Arabidopsis thaliana: one gene and its partner. The protein of the gene in region 1 interacts with the protein of each later gene in a biochemical or structural test. Each region holds a gene or a part of one and is shown on either strand. Other genes may lie near its edges.

Evidence for each region. Proteins that work in one complex are often made in the same cells at the same time.
Region 2: of the proteins of TUB7 (region 1) and AT3G19100, one has a biochemical effect on the other in vitro, tested with the Arabidopsis thaliana proteins (one study listed by BioGRID).

Annotation. Positions count from the first base shown.
Region 1 is NC_003071.7:12,643,412-12,647,876, forward strand, and holds TUB7 (tubulin beta-7 chain), read right to left. Parts: upstream 2,647-4,465; 5' UTR 2,522-2,646; coding exon 2,128-2,521; intron 1,943-2,127; coding exon 1,673-1,942; intron 1,533-1,672; coding exon 847-1,532; 3' UTR 506-846; downstream 1-505. Other genes in the region: RPC14 (RNApolymerase 14 kDa subunit), read left to right, coding at 1-105, 227-417; ENOC (cytosolic enolase), read left to right, coding at 3,224-3,328, 3,415-3,569, 3,655-3,829, 3,912-3,983, 4,065-4,181, 4,304-4,384. UniProt on the Arabidopsis thaliana protein: Tubulin is the major constituent of microtubules, a cylinder consisting of laterally associated linear protofilaments composed of alpha- and beta-tubulin heterodimers.
Region 2 is NC_003074.8:6,603,623-6,609,825, reverse strand, and holds AT3G19100 (Protein kinase superfamily protein), read right to left. Parts: upstream 4,531-6,203; 5' UTR 4,146-4,530; coding exon 3,600-4,145; intron 2,924-3,599; coding exon 2,793-2,923; intron 2,656-2,792; coding exon 2,614-2,655; intron 2,508-2,613; coding exon 2,399-2,507; intron 2,297-2,398; coding exon 1,921-2,296; intron 1,814-1,920; coding exon 1,701-1,813; intron 1,594-1,700; coding exon 1,486-1,593; intron 1,407-1,485; coding exon 1,344-1,406; intron 1,250-1,343; coding exon 1,082-1,249; intron 990-1,081; coding exon 846-989; 3' UTR 531-845; downstream 1-530. Other genes in the region: AT3G19120 (PIF / Ping-Pong family of plant transposase), read left to right, coding at 1-148; LARP6c (RNA-binding protein), read right to left, coding at 6,117-6,203.

The DNA of each region.
Region 1 (4,465 bases):
ATAACCAGTACTGTTTTCAATTCTGCAGTCCCAGAGTAACCGTGGCTGCATACACCATCCCACATCCTTCCCTTGAACAGGTCAATATCCGGGTCCAGACAACAGGTACTGTTTTTCAAAAACTCTGTTCATCAGAGTTAAGCTATGTTCTTTTTGGATAACTCTTATCCGAGTTCTTTGTCTGTGTGTCTAACAACATAAAACGTGTTGGCTCTGTGGCTTTTAGGTGATCCAGCAAGAGAGGTTTTTAAAGATGCATGTCAAGAGCTCATGCAAATGAACAGACATGTGAGAAGCGTTTTTGATAAGGCTGTTGCTGAGTATAAGGATGAACAAAAGCGTAAGGAGGAGGCTGAAGAAGAAGAGCTTAAGAGGCAGAGGGATCTATTTGGGTCCATGGACATTGAAAACAACTGATAACCATTGTATTCTCCTATGGAGTTTATACTATTTTTATCTTAAATCCAGATTCGTCCTTCAAATTGACTCGTCAAATTCATAATCCACACCAAAATTTAACCAAGAAGATTCTTATATTGCTTATAACCATTGTCACTACTACTCTGCTTCTTATATTTGAAAGATGGTGAAGTCTTCACCGAATTCACATAGTCAAAATTAACAAAAGGTTATATAATGAAACAAAGAAAAAAAATACTATGGATGGATTTTGATTTAGCAAAATAGATTGTTTGAATATTGATTGATAAATCCTCTTAGCCTACGCAGAGTATCATAACTACTAATAACGCAAGCGATAGTTACAGAAACTATAAGAACTTAATAGAAGAGAGTTTTAAAAGTAAACAGCAACTGGAAGTTGAGGTGTTCTTATCATCTGTTTCTTCAATAAGTTTCTTCTTGCTCGTACTCAGCTTCTTCCTCTTCATATTCTCCTTCTTCATCAGCCGTTGCATCTTGATACTGCTGATACTCAGAGACAAGATCGTTCATGTTGCTTTCAGCTTCAGTGAACTCCATCTCATCCATACCTTCACCTGTGTACCAATGCAAGAAAGCCTTTCTCCTGAACATAGCAGTGAATTGCTCACTGACACGCCTGAACATCTCTTGGATCGAAGTTGAGTTACCAATGAACGTTGAAGCCATCTTCAGACCAGTAGGGGGAATGTCACAGACGGTTGATTTGACGTTGTTAGGGATCCATTCCACAAAGTAGGAGGAGTTCTTGTTCTGTACGTTCAGCATCTGTTCATCGACCTCCTTGGTGCTCATCTTTCCACGGAACATGGCTGAAGCAGTGAGGTAGCGACCGTGTCTTGGGTCAGCAGCACACATCATGTTCTTAGCATCCCACATTTGCTGAGTGAGCTCTGGGACAGTGAGGTTACGGTACTGCTGAGATCCACGAGAGGTGAGAGGAGCAAATCCCACCATGAAGAAGTGGAGACGAGGGAATGGGATCAGATTCACAGCTAGCTTTCGCAGATCAGAGTTCAGTTGACCAGGGAACCTAAGACAGCAGGTTACACCAGACATGGTTGCAGAGATCAAGTGGTTCAGATCACCAACTGCACAATTCAGAAAACAAACAAAAAAATATGTGAGTGAAGTTTCAATACTAATCAATAACTAAGCCTGAAACAATAAACCACAGAGACAGATACAGTAACAACATTGACTCATAATCGAAGAACATTGGAATACTTACAACTTGGAGTGCTAAGCTTGAGTGTACGGAAGCAAATGTCATACAAAGCTTCGTTGTCAAGAACCATACACTCATCAGCGTTCTCAACAAGCTGGTGCACAGATAGTGTTGCGTTGTAAGGCTCCACAACAGTGTCAGACACCTTAGGCGATGGGAACACAGAGAAAGTCATCATCATACGGTCTGGGTACTCCTCCCTGATCTTAGATATCAACAAAGTTCCCATTCCAGAACCAGTTCCTCCTCCCAAGGAATGGCACACCTGAAATCCTGTAAATCCAAACAACCAAAACCATAAGCAAACAACGAATACAAAACCGAATCCGTATTCCACAGTTCAAAATCAGAAATCTAAACCTAAAAACAATCATACACTACCAATACCCAACCTAAATTTACAGATCCAAAAACCTAAATAGACAAAAACCTAAATAAGGAAGACGGATTTCAAATACCTTGAAGGCAGTCACAGTTCTCAGCCTCTTTGCGAACAACATCAAGGACCGAATCAATAAGCTCAGCACCTTCAGTGTAGTGACCTTTAGCCCAGTTATTCCCAGCACCGGACTGACCGAAGACGAAGTTATCCGGTCGAAAGATCTGACCGTACGGACCAGATCTGACACTGTCCATGGTTCCAGGCTCCAAATCCATGAGAACAGCGCGAGGAACGTACCTTCCACAACTCGCCTCGTTGTAGTATACATTAACCCTCTCAAGCTGTAACTCGGAATCTCCTACATACCGTCCCGTCTGATCAATCCCGTGCTCGAGATTAACCACTTCCCAAAACTTGGAACCGATTTGGTTTCCGCATTGACCTCCTTGAATATGAAGAATCTCACGCATCTTCGCTCACAGAGAAGAAAACCCTAAAACTGGATCTAAAAAGAGAGAGAGAGAGAGAGATTTTGAAAAAGGGAAAGGAGAAGCAGAGAGGATCTTTTGTTTTATGAGAGAGAGAAGAAGAGGAGGGTCCATTTATAAAGAAAAGGAGGTTTTAACGGCTAATATTTGGTAATTCGAAATCGAATCGACGGTTTAGATAATGCCACGTAAATCGAGGTGGCAACGGGTGGCAAAATTCAAAAATTAATGGCTCGTGATAAAAAGTTTTTTTGAATTTCGTAAAAAAATATGTTCGTGTGAATGACAGCTGGATTCCATTAAGGAGAGCAGTTACTAAAACATCGTCGCACTCGCACGTGCTTTATGAGAGATAAAAAAGCGGTTCCAACCTGGCAATCGCACGTGAGAGACTTCTTATTGGGCCTAAAATGGGCTTTTACTCTTTTCATTTCAAATCTGCATGACTTAAAACGGAGTGATGTGCACTAGCAAAATCCTCAGACGGCAAGCATGTGTTTGTAAAGTGAAACTCATCGTTTTAATGATTGAATATGCTTATTGGATCCTGAACCGGAGCCTGAACCGGAGCGTGAACCAAAAAATACAGTCAATCGGAAAATGAATTTCAGATTCAAACTTGTTCATCGAAATTTTGCTTGAAGATTCGAATCGAGAAGTCCGTGGAAGAGGAAGAAGAAGAAGATGTCTGTGCAAGAGTATTTAGACAAGCATATGCTTTCTCGGAAAATCGAAGACGCCGTTAATGCCGCCGTAAGGGCTAAAACCTCAGATCCCGTTCTCTTCATCGTAAGTTTCCTTCGAATTTTGATTTACATGTATCGAAGTGAAATTATGTTACATTACTCATTGAATCTTCAATTGGAAAAGTGCAGGCTAATCATCTGAAGAAAGCTGTATCATCTGTGATAACGAAGGTTAAAGCACGACAGATCCTTGACAGCAGAGGAATTCCAACAGTTGAAGTTGATCTGCACACGAACAAAGGCGTTTTTCGTGCTTCTGTTCCCAGTGGTGATTCTTCTGGAACGTGAGAATTATTCTTACTCTGATTGATATACAATTCTCTAATATGATAAGCCTGACATGAGGAGATTGGTTTACTGATTCTCAAGGTATGAAGCTATTGAGCTACGTGATGGAGACAAAGGAATGTATCTTGGAAACAGTGTGGCTAAAGCTGTTAAGAACATAAATGAAAAAATTTCTGAGGCGTTGATTGGTATGGACCCAAAACTTCAGGGTCAGATAGATCAGGCTATGATAGATTTGGATAAAACTGAAAAGAAGGTAGGTGGGAACTTTTATTAGGATTGTAACAAGTTCATATATCATTGCTCCTCATGATTAATTTGATTTGAATATCTTGCAGAGTGAACTTGGTGCTAATGCTATACTTGCTGTGTCAATTGCGGCATGCAAGGCTGGAGCTGCTGAGAAAGAGGTATGAATGATAACATTTTCTCTTATCCTATGTATTTTATGCCTACTTTAGTTAGGAGATTTTGATTGAAGTTATTATCAGGTCCCTTTGTGCAAGCATCTTTCTGATCTTAGTGGCAGAGCAAACATGGTGTTACCTGTACCTGCGTTCACTGTTTTGAGTGGTGGGAAGCATGCTTCGAATACTTTTGCCATTCAGGTATTCTACATTAAGTTCACTATTAACGTTTCTGTTTCTCAAAGTTCTTCAAGAAATCTTTTGGTTTTCAAGTAATTTCATTTACATATGTAATGATTGTTGTGTTTTCATAATTTGTTTAGGAAATTATGATTCTCCCAATTGGAGCAAGTAGATTTGAGGAGGCCCTGCAATGGGGATCTGAGACATATCATCATTTAAAGGTCAATTTTCAAAGATATATGGCTTTCTAGAAGTTACCTTTCTAATTGCATCCGTAAATTTGTGTATAAGGTGAGAATGAT
Region 2 (6,203 bases), on another chromosome or scaffold:
AGAACCTGAACCGGAGATTTGGAAGGATCCAGATGAAGCTGGAACGCCTGCAAGAGTTTTGGAGAGTGAGAGGCAGTTTTACTATTACGGGGAGAGTTTGAGGCAAGCATTGGCAGAAGATTTACACCAGAGACTCTCCTCGAGGTAAAAGACATGAACAGATCTTGGTCAAAAAATGGAGCTTTCTATCTTTGTTATCATGTAAGAAGCAGATGCTTTCAAGTGTTTAGAACTTTAGATAGCATTGTAGATTCAATCCTCTTGAGAAGAAAGTTTGAGGATTCAGAAATGTTAAAAAGCTGACTTTGTTGCCTAGCCATCCCAACTGTCAGTTTTGTAACTTAGGAATGGGTTTATGGTTTGTTCTGTAACACCTTTTGAGAATGAAATGTATGACTTCTATTGATATGGATTATGGAATCTTGAGAAGCAAGTTTTTCCGAATTTGAAATATTAATAGCTCTCTGTTACTGTAAGTTTTGTGACTTAGGAATGGGTTTTTATGATTTGCTTTGTGGCACATTGTGAATGGAATCTGAATCTTTTTCCTGGAAAAAATGGAGACAGCCAAATGAAAAGAGAAAGGGATGTTCTTAATATCTGTCTTCCATGATTTGGAAGAACACGACTGTGGATTATCATCTTATTATACAACTCTCCAGGCCTGTCGGATTTTTCTGGATACTCTCTTTCTTTGTCGGAACTTAGCATTCTTTTTCTAACACTATAAACATAGGAATGGGTCCTGAAAAAAATTCCAATTCCCAACCCCAATCCACCCATTTGCTTCTTGCAGTTGTATGTTCTTCCTCTTTCGAATCCGTTATAACACCGAGTCACTTTCCTCATCGCGTTTTCGCTAAAGATTGTCGAGTCGAGACACCGTGCAGCAGTTTGACAAAACCCAAGAAACTCAGCTTCCCGTCAGTATGTCTTATCCAGTCATTTAGAATGGTATGAACCGGGATGGATGATCCAACACCAAGTTCCTACAAAACATTTATGTTCCCTTCGTTTAGGAATTAGCTGAATAAATTGTTAAGCATGACAGAAGCAAGTGTCGAATTTCTTATAAACTTACAGAAGCGAGTTCTTCGATGACGATAACTCGGTTTCCATTCATTTCAAATAGCTCATAAGCATGACGAATGCTCTGCTCCCAACAATCAAGAGACTCATGCTGATGAACGCTAATGGAAGCTGCACAAAACTCTTCAAAATCCATCCCTTTGTATTGAAGTCCATTTAACTGTCATTTCCCAACACCAAACTTTCGTTAACCAACCTTGGATTGTATCTTAAACAGATTAAGCAAAAGGACAAGAACAGAAAGGAGACAATACCAATGCAAGAAAGTCCGGGATCCGTGATTCCTTCATTGCTTCTGTTGCATTTGTCGCAAGTGCCTGTCCAACAGAAATAAATCTAGCTTTGAGCTGTTTGCTTTCTACCAGAGAGAGACAGAGAGGAAGAGAAGGCACATACCAGTCTGATGCTATCTAAAGTGATGAGGCCATTTTTGTTGGGTGCTAAGTGTGCAAACTGCGCTTTCAGATAAAGAAGTTCATCGGTAGTTAATGTCTTGGACAGAGCCTGGAGAGAATAAAAGAGTTAGCAAACTAGATACAAAGGTAATAAATATCAAACACATCCTTAAATGTTGTTTGGAAACAGTAAAAAAGGTTAGAAGCAAAATGTACCATCAAAGCAGCTTTGCGCAAAGACGAAGATCTCAAGTATGCTTTGATCTGCTTGAAGATCAGAATATCAAATGGGATATCTATTTTCTTATAACCCGCGATCCAAGGATGCACTGTAAAAACCGGAAAAAAACGTGGAGTAACTTCAACTGGTGATTCATGAAAAGCTAGAAACAGAAGATAAATATAGAAAGATGTGGATATTTTAGAGATTACTGACTCAAAGCTTGAGATGCAGTCATTCTTTTCCGAGGGTCCTTGTACAATAATCTCTTAACAAAATCTTTTGCCTCAAAGGATAACGAAGGCCAAGGAGGTTCATCAAAACTGGGATCAGCTTTTAGAACTGCTCTGAAAATTCCTGATTCAGTTCTTGCCCAAAAAGGACGGCTTCCACATAGGAGAATGTATGCTATGACTCCTATGCTCCATACATCCGCTTCTGTGGTATAAGATCTGTGTAGAACTTCAGGGGCTACGTAATATGCACTTCCCACTATATCATTTAGTCTTTCGTCTGGTCTGACAAAGTCCGATAAGCCAAAATCTATGACTTTCAACATAGAATTCTCCTCCTTGGAAGTGTACAAGAAGTTCTGAAACATGAAAGTGTTTCAAATGTGAGATTGGTATTCAACTAAGACAATATTTCTTTTGGGTTTTGAAAGGAAAAAGCAAAGACAAAAAGTGCGGTTCACCTCTGGTTTTAGATCTCGATGAACAACTCCTTGGAGATGACAGAAAGCTACGACGTTAAGGATCTGTATAAGCACTGCTTTTGCATCATCTTCAGAGTATTTTCCTCCCCTGTAAGAGAAGTAAATTTGAAATAGTTAGACAGCCAATAGAACATCTCTAAGAAGGATCTCTGACCATAAGTTAACAAATGTCATAACAATCTTTAAAAGCAGACCTTGCTAGTATCCTGTCAAGAAGTTCACCACCTCCACATAACCTGAAAGTTGAAAGAAAGTAAATGTTTATTCACAGCTAAACATTTTGAAGTAAGCCAAGTCGGGAAAATAAGAATCTGATAGCTCTCCTAGTAGATTCAACATGACACAGGAATATATAAGCACATGATTGTCTTACTCCATAACGATGTAAACGTTGGCATTGTCCTCGAACGCATCATAGAATTGTACCAAATTTTGATGTCCAGATAACGCCCGCAGTATTTTCACTTCTCTTCTCACATCCTCTATAGATATTGCAGATGTCATCTGCCAAACCAAAGCTGATGAGAAACAGTCTATTGTGGATTAAGCTAACACTAAACCTATCTGTATATTACACCAACTAACTCGATTACATGATTAACTTTCTTAGTCATCAAATAAGGACCATCAAAATTTCAATTGCTTAATGACAATTGACAAAAGCACAAATGTCCATGTTCCAATTTATTGACCAATTTAAAACGTTTAGAAATGTTCACAGAAAAGTCAGCAATGCTAATCTACAACCATTGAAAACTTGGCTATTGAAAAACATGGATGAAACATAAGTGTCATTGACAAACTTCAACCTCATCTGTGTTCGCTATTACTTGTTTTTGTATTAATTTCTATGCGTGAAAGTCTACATACGCTATCAATTTTTTCAAAAAGATGGCTCAAACAAGAGGACAGTAAGCTCGTAGAGAAGAACAGAAACATCTCAAGAGACCGTAATGATCAAATTACAGGTTCATCATGAAGCAAAAGGAGACTATGATGGTTTGTTCTTCTACCTTGAAACAGTTTAACATCTACTAAACAAATCAGACAAGACACACAAAGAATCTTCAATTTGTCAGATATAGCTATCACTACAATGATGAAGCACTTGAGCCAATTGAAGCAGAAAACTTAAGATGGAAACTTGAGAATTTGGAAAAAGTAAAGCTGTAAAAATGACCTTAGATTTTGGGATGACTTTAACAGCAACCTCCTGATCTTTGAGCTCTCCTTTCTTGAACTTAGCAGAGCAAGTATACCCAAAATGCCCTCTCCCAATCTCTTCCCCTAGCTCAATCCTACTCTGTAACTCCTTGGAAAACCCAAATCTTTTATCCAGCCCTACCTCTTCCCTCTCCTCCTCCTCCTTCTGCTGCCTCGCCGCCGGCAGAGCAGCCTCCTTCTTCTCCTTCCTCCGCCGCAGAACATCCCGTATATGTCTCGCCGGTGACGGAGGGTGGAAAGCACGCGCGAGCTGACGGAGAGGAGTGCTGGTAACGCTCTTACTCTCTCCTCCTCCGCCGTCGCGGCTCTTGTTACGGCGGTGCCGGGCGGGACTAGGCGTGTAAAAAGGGAAAAAAGGAGAGGCCTTTACGGCGGGAGATGAACGAACCGGTGATTTCCCGGGATGAGCAGGGGTAGAATCGTCATTTTGGAGAACCGCGTCTTTGGGTGCGTAAGGATTAGGTTTGACGGAGGAGGAAGGTTTGGAAGTACAGCCTCCCATATATCCTTCTCCTTCTTCTTCTTCTTCTCCGGTTCAAAGAAATAAAAAAAGACAGAAGAAGAAGATATGGGAGTTATGTCTGGACTTAAAGAGAATCACAGCAATGACATTGAAGCACTCTGGTTTGGTTTCAATGTAGTTAGAGAGAGACAGAGAGAGAAGAAGTGAGCTGTAGAAGAGAGAGAAGCCACATGGCAGAATCTGCGGGTGGTGAAGTAGCTTCCTTCCATCTGATGAAGAAGGTTAGATTTTAGATGTGGATTGGTCGAAATTTAGTTTGCTTTTTGCCACGTCTTTCTACTTTTGTCCCTCTTTTTTTTTCTTTTTAATTCACAATATGTTTGTTCTTTCTCTAAGCAATACTATACGTTTTCTTTTGCTTTTGTATTTTATCTATCATTATTTTTTGTCTTTTTTTCTTGTCTTTTTTGTTGTTGATATTGTCTTTTTGATATCTTATTGGGAGAATAAAAACGTTTTGAAATGTATTTATGGACGTTATCATTTTCAAAAGTGGGAATTAAAGATAACTTTTAAAGCTCCATCTTGTGATACTACTAAATTAAATATTTTATTACTAATTAACTAGGGAGGTTATAAAAGATACAAATAATATTGCTCTGAAAATCAGGATTTACGTTATATAAATTGATTGGATGTACCTGCTTGACCCTTTTTGAAACATGCTGATGTTGTAACCTAACAACTTCATTGTATCTGGACAGGTCGTATATCAATTTCAATTTTTAATAAGATTTCATCATTTTCAAAATATTTGATCCACATCTCTAAGTTCTTTTTTTCTTTTTCTTACTAACTCTTGATTTGAAAATCTCTCTCCAATACCAATCGTTAAGATCAGTTTAGTTATCATTATTTCTATCTACCAATCGGTACGTAATTTAGTATAGACTATGAAGTTGGTTTACTGATATTGCATGTTTGGTTTCATGTAAATACATGTCCAACAATTTCCATCCTTTGAAGGTTTTCTATTAATTTGGGAGTAAAATTAGGTTTTGTTTCAATTAAAGATTATACATTTATTATAATTAATATGATACTATAAATTAGTTTGTTTGACAACTACCATAGGTTATGAAATTACTAGACAACCTTGGCAAGAACTTTTGTTATCTCAATACTCATTTGTCTTTTCACTTATTTTTAGAAAAAAATTGTACATTGAATCCATTTTTTTTTTTTTTTCACAACATTGAATCCAATCTAAGGTCATTGAAAAATGTCTTTTCAAGTATTGGGTTTTGTAAACAAAATCCAATCGAAAAATGGCAATTATTGTAAACAAAACCCACTTCCTTATATTGATTGAGATGAATAATGGATTCAATAAGTGACTCCGCCTTCTTCAAGGTTGTTAAAGAATTGTCGAATATGTCTTAAAAATTAATATATATCAAACCGGTTAAAAAACCATTTGGGAATGTCAATAGATACAAGTTACTGGAATTAGTTAGGATGCAAGAAGATAGTAACATTTTACCTGATTATTTCCTTTCTTGTGCTTGTGCTTTTTATAAACTATTCATCATGTTTTTTTAGTTTTTCTTTAGAAAGAAAATTGATTAGTTTTCAAGTTTCACCCAATCTTTCAGTCACTTATTCAAATCCATTACTCATCTAAATCAAAACAAAGAGTTGAGAGGGTTGCAATTCTTGTGCTATATAAATTACCCCTTTATTATTCAAATAATAATCTCACAAAAATAAAACATATTAAACATACAGAAAAGAAATTGCCTCAAAAAATGAAAAAAGTTATATAAAACGAACCCTCAAAAAACGTCACCGTGCCTTCACTATCTTCTCCCAAGTCATGTGCCTTGCTTCTTTTGAATGCATCTTAGGAAAACCAATCCATATGTATTATTTGGTTAATTAACTCTAAAATCTTTTACCTCTATTATAATAAATCAATTATAAATAGCAGTCCTTGTGGTGGGTAACTATTTAGAGATTGTTAGGTGAGAGTGAGATGGAAGGTTTGCCACGTCCCATGGTGAAGCCTCTGGTTCCATCAGGCATTCTTGGTCCCTT